Linked DNA regions of Macaca fascicularis. The protein of the gene in region 1 interacts with the protein of each later gene in a pairwise test. Links are inferred from orthologs where the notes say so. Each region holds a gene or a part of one and is shown in the gene's direction. Other genes may lie near its edges.

What was found.
Region 2: the proteins of PNMA5 (region 1) and ZBTB25 interact in binary tests that used the Homo sapiens proteins (3 or more experiments, as listed by UniProt). The two-hybrid records come from large-scale screens. The link is inferred for Macaca fascicularis from reciprocal best matches to the Homo sapiens genes PNMA5 and ZBTB25.
Region 3: the proteins of PNMA5 (region 1) and ZMYND19 interact in binary tests that used the Homo sapiens proteins (3 or more experiments, as listed by UniProt). The two-hybrid records come from large-scale screens. The link is inferred for Macaca fascicularis from reciprocal best matches to the Homo sapiens genes PNMA5 and ZMYND19.

The regions. Positions count from the first base shown.
Region 1 is NC_088395.1:159,084,063-159,087,787, reverse strand, and holds the start of PNMA5 (paraneoplastic antigen-like protein 5), read left to right. Parts: upstream 1-883; 5' UTR 884-1,181; exon of another isoform or gene 1,182-1,195; intron 1,196-1,375; 5' UTR 1,376-1,497; coding exon 1,498-2,844; 3' UTR 2,845-3,725.
Region 2 is NC_088381.1:132,324,221-132,327,911, reverse strand, and holds the start of ZBTB25 (zinc finger and BTB domain-containing protein 25), read left to right. Parts: upstream 1-857; 5' UTR 858-965; intron 966-1,622; exon of another isoform or gene 1,623-2,061; intron 2,062-3,691. UniProt on the Homo sapiens protein: May be involved in transcriptional regulation.
Region 3 is NC_088389.1:1,728,842-1,732,486, forward strand, and holds part of ZMYND19 (zinc finger MYND domain-containing protein 19), read left to right. Parts: intron 1-105; coding exon 106-212; intron 213-807; coding exon 808-948; intron 949-3,645. UniProt on the Homo sapiens protein: May be involved as a regulatory molecule in GPR24/MCH-R1 signaling.

The DNA.
Region 1 (3,725 bases):
AATGAAGTTTGCAGTGGGGGTGGGGCTGCAACCTTACCTTAGGATCCCTTCTGCCCTAGCAGCAGCCCCCCCGCCCCCCACCTCCCTCCTCACCTCCCACCCCTCTCGCCATTCTTCCCCCCACTCCTCCTTCCCCCCCACCCCTCCCCCCTTCCCCCCTCCTCTTCCCTCTGCCAGTTGAGCAGTTTCTTCTACCCCTGCACCAGGGTCCTAGTGGACACCTATGCAGAATCTGAATTGGCATGGCCTGAGCAGGGACATGTGTGTGGGACAGAATCACAGCAAAATACCTGTGCTTTGCCTTGGACAGATCCAGGGAAGCAGGAACCATCACGCCTGAGTCAGGAACTGCCTAATTGGATAGAGTTGAAGAGCAGAGCGACTCTGAAGTGACTGTGTTATTGCAGCATCTGCGCTGCCAGCAGGGCCAACCCAGAAAGGTGAGCAGCTGTGAGGTGGGCCCTGTTGGGAGGGTCTCTGGAACCCCGGCAAAGAGTGTGGAGAGGGGACTGCCTGCCAGCGTTCACAGACTCTGCAGGGTAGGGCCATCTCTAGGGCAAGAGTTGTTGGTTTCCTGCAGTCTGGCAGTGGGGACCTCATCAGGGTCCCTTTTCTACCTGATTTCAGCTTCCACACAATTGAAACCATGAGCTCCTGTCCTTTCAGCACTCACTCCTCAAGCCCACCTCGCTTTCCCTCTCCCACCCTCCTTTTTGCTGGGAAGCTTTATTGGTTGGAGGCCAATGACATCACCTGTTGCTTCTCAAGGACCTTAGCCTTACCACATGACACTCCCCTGCAATAGCAACCCATGGTCCATGGTATTCTCTGTATCCATGGCAACACTGCAGCTTGTCACACAATCTCCACACCCACCACTCTCATTGCATTGCGCAGAGCTCGGCCATCTTTCTCATCTGTCAGGCATTCCTGAGAAAGAGGGCCATTCTACCTCTCCTGCTGCCAGCCTTCACTCCAGCAAGGAGGGTGCTGGGTGACCTGAGCCCACATAGCCCTGAGTGAGCAGTGAGGCCGTCTCCTGCCCTCTTCCGCCTGGAGAGCTTGTCAGTGTCCCCAGATGTCAGGCCCTGCCTCCTGACTTTGGCCTTTTCACTACAGATACCCGAAGCACACACAGCAGAGTCCTCTGGACTTCGAGGAGGAACCCACAGCAGGAGGAGGTCAGCAGGGAGTGGTGAGATGAGGAGATCTTTGCCTGGGGAGAACCTCCACCCTCTACCCTCCCCAAAATAACTTGGGGAACCCTGGGAAGAAGGGACTCCATCCCTGCTCGGGGGTGGGGGCAGAGGAGGGGTGCTTGGGGGTATAGGTTGGGGTAGGCATTAACAATGCTCTCATCCCATTTGCTTTGCAGGCTGTGGAAACCTGGGACCACTTCTACCTTCCTACGTGGCAGTGGCTCAGAGTTATTTGAGTGCTGTCAAACTAAGCTGATTGCTGCCCTAGTATTAGATCAGTCCATAGAAAGTGGGAGCAATGGCATTGACACTGCTAGAGGATTGGTGCAAGGGGATGGACATGGACCCCAGAAAGGCCCTGCTGATCATAGGCATCCCCGTGGAGTGTAGTGAGATGGAAATTCAGGACACTGTGCAGGCAGGCTTACAGCCCCTGCGCGCATACAGGGTGCTAGGGAGAATGTTCAGGAGGGAAGACAACGCCAAGGCAGTCTTCATTGAATTGGCTGACACTGTCGATTACACTACTCTGCCTAGTCACATACCAGGAAAGGGGGGCTCCTGGGAAGTGGTGGTAAAACCCCGTAACCCAGATGACGAGTTTCTCATTAGACTGAACTACTTCCTGAAAGATGAGGGCCGAAGTATGACAGATGTGGCCAGAGCCCTGGGATGTTGCAGCCTCCCTGCCGAGAGCCTGGATGCAGAGGTCGTACCCCAAGTTAGACCCCCACCTTTAGAGCCTCTGAAAGAAAGTATGTGGTACCGGAAACTGAAAGTGTTTTCGGGAACTGCTTCCCCTAGCCCAGGTGAAGAGACCTTTGAAGACTGGCTAGAGCAGGTCACCGAGATAATGCCCATATGGCAAGTGTCTGAGATGGAGAAGAGACGGCGTTTGCTGGAGAGCTTACGAGGGCCTGCTCTGTCAATCATGCGGGTGCTCCAGGCCAACAATGACTCCATAACTGTGGAGCAGTGCCTTGACGCCTTAAAGCAGATCTTTGGGGATAAAGAGGACTTCAGAGCCTCTCAGTTTAAGTTTCTGCAGACCTTTCCGAAGATTGGAGAGAAAGTCTCCACTTTCCTGCTGCGCTTAGAGCCCCTGCTGCAGAAAGCAGTGCAGAAGAGCCCCTTGTCAGTGCGCAGCGCAGACATGATTCGTCTGAAACATCTCTTAGCTCGGGTCTCCATGACCCCCGCCCTCAGAGGCAAGCTGGAGCTCTTGGATCAGCGAGGGTGTCCTCCCAATTTTCTGGAGTTAATGAAGCTTATTCGAGATGAAGAAGAGTGGGAGAACACTGAGGCAGTGATGAAGAATAAGGAGAAGCCATCAGGGAGAGGCCGGGGGGCCTCTGGTAGACAGGCAAGAGCAGAAGCCAGTGCCTCTGCACCTCAGGCCACCGTGCAGGCAAGGTCTTTGAGCGACAGCAGCACCCAGACTGTACAGGGAGGCTTACCCCCATTAGTGAAACGCAGGCGGCTGTCGTGCAGTGAAAGCACTAGGGAAGAAGACTATGGCCAGGCCATGTATCCCAAGGCTGAAAACCAGACTCCAGGCAGGGAGGGGCCACAGGCTGCAGGAGAGGAGTCGGGAAACGAGGCAGGGGCTGGGGCCATGAGCCATCCCAAGCCCTGGGAAACATAGGCTCAGAAGACCCAAGCACTCCTTCCCCTGGCAGGCAGCAGGGACATTTGAACAAAGGGCAGCTTACACTAACAGGGAACTTGATTGGGGCAGAGGGACAGGGAAGCCAGGTCAAGATCAAGCCCCTTTACTTTCCACCAGCTGGAAGGGACTTCACCAACCTAGACCAAATAGCATCTGGTTCAGTGGGGGCCAGGCCCATGGCCCCTAACAGGTATAGGAGACACAAGCAGGGAACAGCTACACTTAGCACAGGGGGTGGCTGGGCTTCAGATGGGGACCCCAACAAAGCAGGGGCTGAAGACGGTGTGGCTGGGGGCTCTGGCCTGGTCATCTGGACACCCCCAAATATCCACCCTGTGAACTTTGAGCTGAGAATGCCCACTGGCACCCAGGCCATGTGGGACCTGGAGGAGCCTGCCTGGGGCCTGCCTCTGCCAGAAGGAGCCAGGGCTGCTGAGGAAGAGCTGTGGGGGAGAAGTGAAGCCCGGCAGGGGAGGCTGCAGGGTCCAGCCCGTCTTTAGGATCATTTACACTGCATGAGGGGAGCCCCAGGAAGGCAGCATTCATGACCCCCTGCACCAGTGAGGAAGAGAAAGAGGAGGAGAATTAAGAAGAGGATGATCAGGAGGAGGAATAGGAGAATAAGGAGGGGCAGGAAGAAAAGGAGGAGGAAGAGGGGGAGGAGAAGGAGGAAGAGGGGAAGGAGGAGGAAGAAGTGTGAGAAGAGAGGACTTGTTGGGGGTGGGTAGTTGTTTTTGGTTTGCGTCATCACCAGGCCCAGGCTCTGCTCACTGCTGTTCCGTGTCAAGAACTCCACCTCTGCTTTGCCGGTGTAGATCTCGGCCAGCAGCTGCTTGTTCTCTTGGGGATGTTTGTGT
Region 2 (3,691 bases), on another chromosome or scaffold:
GTGCCGGCGAGAGGGGGTGGGAAACAGCGTAGCAAGAATTTGCGGCTCTTACGCCTCCTCCCTCGGAGCGCGCCCAAGTCTGCAGCCTCGGGCTCCGGGACACTTCCCCTCCCACCCGCCGCGGAGCCGCAGCTGTAAGTTGAGAGAAGCGGGCTCCAGGCACGTCAATCAACCGGGTTCTCCCGCCTCCCGTCTACACCTCCCCTCCCCCCCTCGAAAAAAATAAAGGCAGAGAAAGAAAGAAAAGAAGGTAACTAATTTGGGAACTAGTCTCCGTAAGGGCTTTGCCTCCGACTCAGGGAGGCCGCACGCCCGGGACCTGACGCGCCGGCAACAAGCAGGCGGCCTGGCAGCCGCCCGTCACCGGGTCCTTGCAACGCGTCCGCCGCGCTCCGGCTCCCCGCACGGGTCGGCGCCGCTCCGGCCCCGCACTCCGCCAGGCCCGCGGCCCGTCGCCCTCCGGCCCGGGCGAAAGTTGCGCAAATAGCCCCACAACTGGCAAATACTTACCGGCCGCAGCAGGAACCAGAGCTGCGGAGATTTTAGGGAGTTTAAGGCAAATCAGCCACGGCAAAGGCGGGCGGAGGCGAAGGGGCCGCGAGCTGCAGTGGCGGCGGCGCTCGGCGCTCGGGTTGGGCTGCGCGGAGAGGCTCTGGCTCTGCCAGGGACTGTGCTGCAACAAAGGACTTCCGCTGCCGCACAGCCGCGCCTGCCGCACCGCACTGAGCCGGCCCCGCTTACGCGGCGACTCCGGGTCTGCCCACCAGTTCGCTGCGGCGTCCGCCAGCCTTCCCCTCCCTCTCGCCCGCCCACCCACTCTGCCGCTGGCTGCTAGGGGCACCCGCGGTCGCCTGTTTGTTGCAACAAGTTTCTGCGTCGGGCTCCGAGGAGGCTGGCGCAACCCGCACCGCGGGGGCTGTCGCGGCAGCGGCGGCTTGACCACCCCTCTCGCCCCTCTCTCAAGGGTAGGCTTGGGACCTCCTCCTCCTCCTGTTTGCACAGCTGGATGTGACTGGGCTCCTCCCGACTCCCCAGGGCAGTATGCGCGGCTGTTTTCCCACTCTGTCCAGATGTCAGACCCCTGCCCCGTTGGGCCCAGCAGCTGGGCCGTCCCTCGCGGTCCGCCTCGAGTGCTTCGGAAACCTCGCTCTGTCCGGTCGGTTCAGGGTCGCCTAGTCCCCGCGCTCCCCCCACCCCACCTTCCGTGGGCCTGTCCGCCTCTGGCCCTGAGTCACTTCCCTCGCCATGCCCCACCTCGCCCAGTCCGCCTCTCCACCCAGGCTCCCGCGGCTCGGCCTCCCTGGCCCCGCGCCCTCATCCCTTCCCCAGCGAACACGCGGGCGCATCCTTCCCCACCCCCACCTTCACCCCAGAACTGAGGGGGTGCCTGTGCTTTTGCACACCCTGGGGAAAGTCCCCGGGTCACGCGGTTGTTTGTGGGGAGCCTGTGACGCTCAGGCTCGTCCCTGTGCTTCCGCCTACAGAGTCACGACTGCGAACTGTAGCGGCAGCGCTCAGAGCGCGGGCCGACCCCCGCCCGGCTGCGGGCGGGAGGGCGCGCACGTACGCACGCACGCACGCACGCACACCCTGGCCTTGGCGCCCCTCGTTCCCCTGCTACCAGACACGCGGTCACGTGGGGCCATCGCGGGCTGCCGGCGCGGGAAGCCGCGCGAGAGCCAGCCGCGGGGTGCGTGAGCCGGCTCCACCGCTTGCTGTGCGCGGCTTGGGAGCCCGCCCCTCCTGCACGGAGGAGTCGGCTTGCCGCCGCGGCGGCATCTGGGTAAGCGACGCGGCCCAGCCCTTGTGGGCTGCCCCGGTCTCAGTCCCTCCCGCCGCGAGCCGCCCAGGGCGGCGGCCTGCAGCTGCACCGGTCGCGGGACAGATGCAAGTAGCTGGGGAGAGGGGTGTTTTTGGTCCCATTGAGATGTCAGGCAGGGCACAGGAGGAAAATACATCCGCGAGTGAGCGCTGGGCCAACAATACCCAGAACCACCCTTTGCTGCTGCTAGGAGCGGCCGCCGGGGCCTGATTCAGGGTGGCACACGGGGTGCCTTGAAGGTGCGGAGCCGTCCGTGCTGCGGGTCCGGGTGCGACCCTTAGCAGGAAACCCCAATAGGCCTGCGGCCTCCCCCGCTTGGCGCCCACCGCTCTTAGGAGCGGGCGACTTTCCATATGCTGCGAGGACGCTGCGGCTAGTGTTTCCACTCCCAGCTTGTGATTACCTAGTTTCTAGGGCAAGAAGACTTCCCCCGCGCCCTCATAATTTATTTTCTGTCTTCAAATGTTTATCTTGTTCTAAGCAAATCCAGTTTTTCTTTTTGAAGCTTGACCCATCACCGCCTTCTCTGGCACTCATTATTTGGAGTAATCAGGTGTTATCAGTTGCGGAGGCAGCGCATAGCACAGCGTAGTACCTGGAACTTGACAGCACCTAGCATGTTTTCAACAGTCAGCGCCCGGGTCTCCCCCAAGGGATTAAATTTGGCATTCTTTCTCTTGAAACTCAAGTTCGTCTGGCAGAGCTATTGATCCTCTCACAAGACTATCAAGTGTGTAGAGTACACTTTGGAATCTCACGTTTTAGAGCTGAGCGGTGCCTTACAGAAAATCTGTTGATCATCACAGAGAAGACACCAGGCCTAAAGAGCGTGATGTAACTGGAGCTAGCTACACCTCTTGATAGCTAAGACTCCAAGGCTCCAGACACCTTGGTGATTGCACTCTCCACTATGCCAGGACCGCAGTGCCAGTTTACCCCACTCACCTGTAGAGAATGTATCCGGCGGAGGTCATTATACTTGGCTTGATTCAGATTATGGAGAAATCAGGCATGGCCACTGTGTGGGTTTGATAGTATTTCTAGTGAGGTAGGCCAGCTATGGTGTATTTTTGGAACTAAAAGCCTTCACCCCTCAGCCACCCCTGAAAATTTCATTGCTGTTCTCTTCAAGAATAACCATTATTTGCAGCATTGGTTGCTTCCTTATGTTAAGGCATCAAAGTCTTCTTTAACAATCTTCATATATTTTAGTTAAGGGCAAATCATGAATCCGTTATCGGACATCAGCTCCTTAACAGGGAACAGAACACTGATGGGATAGGACATGGAATAGATTAGTTCTGAGAGCTGGCAATCAATGAAATATCAAGGTATGGTCAGGAAGAAAGCAGAGAGGAACCCACATAACCTGCTACACCTTTTTTGTCCAGTCCTACCTTGAATGTCTTATTTGCATGTATTAGAGATGGATTCTGCTCAAGTTGGCCGCTGTTTACTGAATACTTGCAGTGGGCGAAGTATCATACTAGCTGCTTTCATAAATGAACTTTGTATCTTTACCAAAGAGGAGATGGTACTGTCTTCATGTTACAAGCCTGAGGAAACAGGCCATTACCTGGGCTGTAGTGATATAGTCATTTGCAGTAGAATTTAAGCCTAGATCGCTTATCTCTCAAGTCCAATCAGTGCTCTTTTGCATTATGTCTTGCTCCTGCTTCAGCCAGGAAGGGAATGAGAGAATCGCCTGTGGCTGATTTATTGGCGCCTGTGGTTGCCCAGAGAGGCCAAGCAGGACTTTCAGCTGCCCTCTATGCCTTACAAAATGGAGCTGTGAGCTTCCACCCTATCTCCTGAGGGGAATGTGAAGGAGCCAGGCTGTCTAGCTGGGGAGGAGGGGCCCAAGTGCCT
Region 3 (3,645 bases), on another chromosome or scaffold:
TGAGCCACCGCGCCCGGCCATTTCACTTGGTTTTTCTAAGAGGGAATTGAAGTGTTGCTGAGAATTGGAGGCTTTTTAACAGCTCTTTCCCTTGTTCCTTCTCAGGCCCGAATGGAAGTGGATGCAGATGGAAATGGTGCTAAGATATTTGCCTATGCCTTTGACAAGAACCGAGGAAGGGGCTCTGGGAGACTCCTTCATGAACTGCTGTGGTGGGTGTTTCCAAGCTGCCTCTGCCCCCTGCCACTGGGCTCCTGGGTGAGCTCCGATGGCACAGGGCGCCTGGAGCCCCCTGCCCCACTGAGGCCCTGCCTTGCCTTCCCTGAATCTCGCAGTTATTTTTGTGTGCTTTGCCACTAACTCAAAGGAATGAATGATTTGTATGTTACGCTTCAAACACCAAGTGGACTTTCTGCTGGAAGCTTGCCCAGGACTGGTGGCCTCTGCAGGGACGGTGGTTGCTCCCCTTGCTGGTTTTTTGCTGAGCCCCCTGGTGTGCATGGTGGGGACCACTCAGATGGGGAGCTGTCTCCAGGCCATCTGCTCAGGTGGTTTTACGTTCCACCCTTGGCTGTCTGTGCTCCGAAGTCCAGGGCCCAGGTCCTCCCTGTATCCCTGTCCTGTTTGGGCCACAGATCAGGTGCTTGGGTTTCTCTTGGCAGCTTCCGCCTGAGGTACCCTCCTCCAGAGGGGTAGGGGCCTGATCACATCACATGGCTGACGTTTCTTCCTGGAGGACTTTGGTTATCTGTGAGGGTGGGAGGCAGCGATGCAGGGTTAGATGCAGGGTTTGCTGTCTGTTTGTAGGGAGCGGCACCGGGGGGGCGTGGCCCCGGGCTTCCAGGTGGTACACCTCAACGCTGTGACTGTGGACAATCGCCTGGACAACCTGCAGCTGGTGCCGTGGGGCTGGCGGCCCAAGGCTGAAGAGACCTCCAGCAAACAGAGGTGGGTCTTCTCAGGGCCCGGTGATGCTGGCAGAGGTGCCTTTTGAGGAGGGCCACCTCCAAAGCTCTTGTTTCCAAGAGGGTCTCGTGTTCCTCCTCTGAGCCCTGATGCTTCTGTGTGTTTTGGGACTTTCATTGTTTTTCCCCAAAGTGTGGAATCCTCCTTTTCTTTATGGGAGCGTGAAGGATCTTGGTATGTGTTTTTGCATTGCTCTTCTGATAATTGGCTCTGGGAACCTCCCTTTAGCTGGCATGACAAAGCGGGGAGAAGGGCTGCCTGCTCCAGGGCAGGGCCCGCGCTGGGACTCGGTGTGAGCAGGGCTTGTGCCCCACACCCCGGGAGGCATCAGCCTTCTCACCTCAGGATTCCTCCCTTCTCTCCTCACCCTAAGATTCCTCCCTTCTCTCCTCACCTCAGGATTCTTCTCTACTCAACTCAGGATTCCTCCCTTCTCACCCCAGGATTCCTCCCTTCTCTCCTCACCTCAGGATTCTTCTCTCCTCACCTCAGGATTCTCTTCTCAACTCAGGATTCCTCTCTCCTCACCCCAAGATTCCTCCCTTCTCTCCTCACCTCAGGATTCTTCTCTCCTCACCTCAGGATTCTCTTCTCAACTCAGGATTCCTCTCTCCTCACCCCAGGATTCCTCCCTTCTCTCCTCACCTCAGGATTCCTCCCTTCTCTCCTCACCCCAATATTCCTCCCTTCTCTCCTCACCTCAGGATTCCTCCCTTCTCTCATCACCCCAATATTCCTCCCTTCTCTCCTCACCTCAGGATTCCTCCCTTCTCTCCTCACCTCAGGATTCCTCCCTTCTCTCCTCACCTCAGGATTCTTCCCTTCTCTCTTCACCTCAGGATTCTTCCCTTCTCTCCTCACCTCAGGATTCTTCCCTTCTCTCCTCACCTCAGGATTCTTCTCTCCTCACCTCAGGATTCTCTTCTCAACTCAGGATTCCTCTCTCCTCACCCCAGGATTCCTCCCTTCTTTCCTCACCTCAGGATTCCTCCCTTCTCTCCTCACCCCAAGATTCCTCCCTTCTCTCCTCACCCCAGGATTCCTCCCTTCTCTCCTCACCTCAGGATTCTTCTCTCCTCATCTCAGGATTCCTCTCTCCTCACCTCAGGATTCCTCCCTTCTCTCCTCACCTCAGGATTCCTCCCTTCTCTCCTCACCTCAGGATTCCTCCCTTCTCTCCTCACCCCAGGATTCCTCCCTTCTCTCCTCACCTCAGAATTCCTTCCTTCTCACCCCAGGATTCCTCCCTTCTCTCCTCACCTCAGAATTCCTTCCTTCTCACCTCAGGATTCTTCCCTTCTCTCCTCACCTCAGGATTCCTTCCTTCTCTCCTCACCTCAGGATTCCTTCCTTCTCTCCTCACCTCAGGATTCCTTCCTTCTCTGCTCACCTCAGGAATCCTCCCTTCTCTGCTCACCTCAGGATTCCTTCCTTCTCTCCTCACCTCAGGATTCCTTCCTTCTCTCCTCACCTCGGGATTCCTTCCTTCTCTGCTCACCTCAGGATTCCTCCCTTCTCTCCTCATCTCAGGATTCCTTTCTGTGCACACAGATGGGTCTTTTTGTTGTGTTCTTTTGCTAAACAGTTTTCGTTAAGCAAAAGTTTAAAGCAGAGAATGTGTGGTTCAGGGCTCAGCCCTTGGCCCCCCACTTGCCTGTGATCCTGAAAGCGGTGCTTTGCATGGGCTTCCCACGTGGGAGGGCAGTTCCTGCTGGCCCTAGAATCAGCCAGGCTGTGAACTTCATGGAGCCCTTGGGAAGAGCCGAGGGACCAGCAGGATGGGGGTTGGGAACCCAGATGAGCCAGAGAGTCCCCAGCCACACACGCTTCGCTGACATGTTCCCCAGTCGCGCTGGGGCTTCTGGGCATGTCCTCAAGCCTCTGGGCAGCCTTTCCTGGTGCAAGCAGTGCGAACTGCCCTAGCAGATGGTTATCAGCAACGCTGGTAAGGTTTAGTGTTTTGGGCTTGGTGATGGTTGGTGGCTGTGGGTAGAATCTTTGCAGTTGTCACCTCAGGGTCATGCTAGAGCCCCGTGCAGCCGAGGTGGAAACAGTGGGAGCACCTGAGACACTGGTTGGTGATGTGGGGACAGTCCCCAGGTCTCCAAAATGCCACCCCCAAACTGCTGTTCCTGCCACCCTGGAGGGAGTCCTGCAAGTCTCCCCCATCCCCTCCTCACTGGGCCTCTCAGGATGAAGGCAGAGCCTGCGGTGTCTCTCGTTCTTGTTGGGCTAGTGGTTTTGTTCCCTGCTCTGTTTATTTAATGTAATTAATTAATTTTACAGATGGGTCTCACTGTGTTGCCCAGGCTGGTCTCAAACTCCTGGCTTCAGGAAATCCTCCTGCCGCAGCACTCTTTTTTTTTTTTTTTTTTTTTTTTTTTTTTTTTTTTTTTTTTTTTTTTTTTTTTTTGAGACGGAGTCTCGCTCTGTCACCCAGGCTGGAGTGCAGTGGCCGGATCTCAGCTCACTGCAAGCTCCGCCTCCCGGGTTTACGCCATTCTCCTGCCTCAGCCTCCCGAGTAACTGGGACTACAGGCGCCCGCCACCTCGCCCGGCTAGTTTTTTGCATTTTTTAGTAGAGATGGGGTTTCACCATGTTAGCCAGGATGGTCTCGATCTCCTGACCTCGTGATGCGCCCGTCTTGGCCTCCCAAAGTGCTGGGATTACAGGCTTGA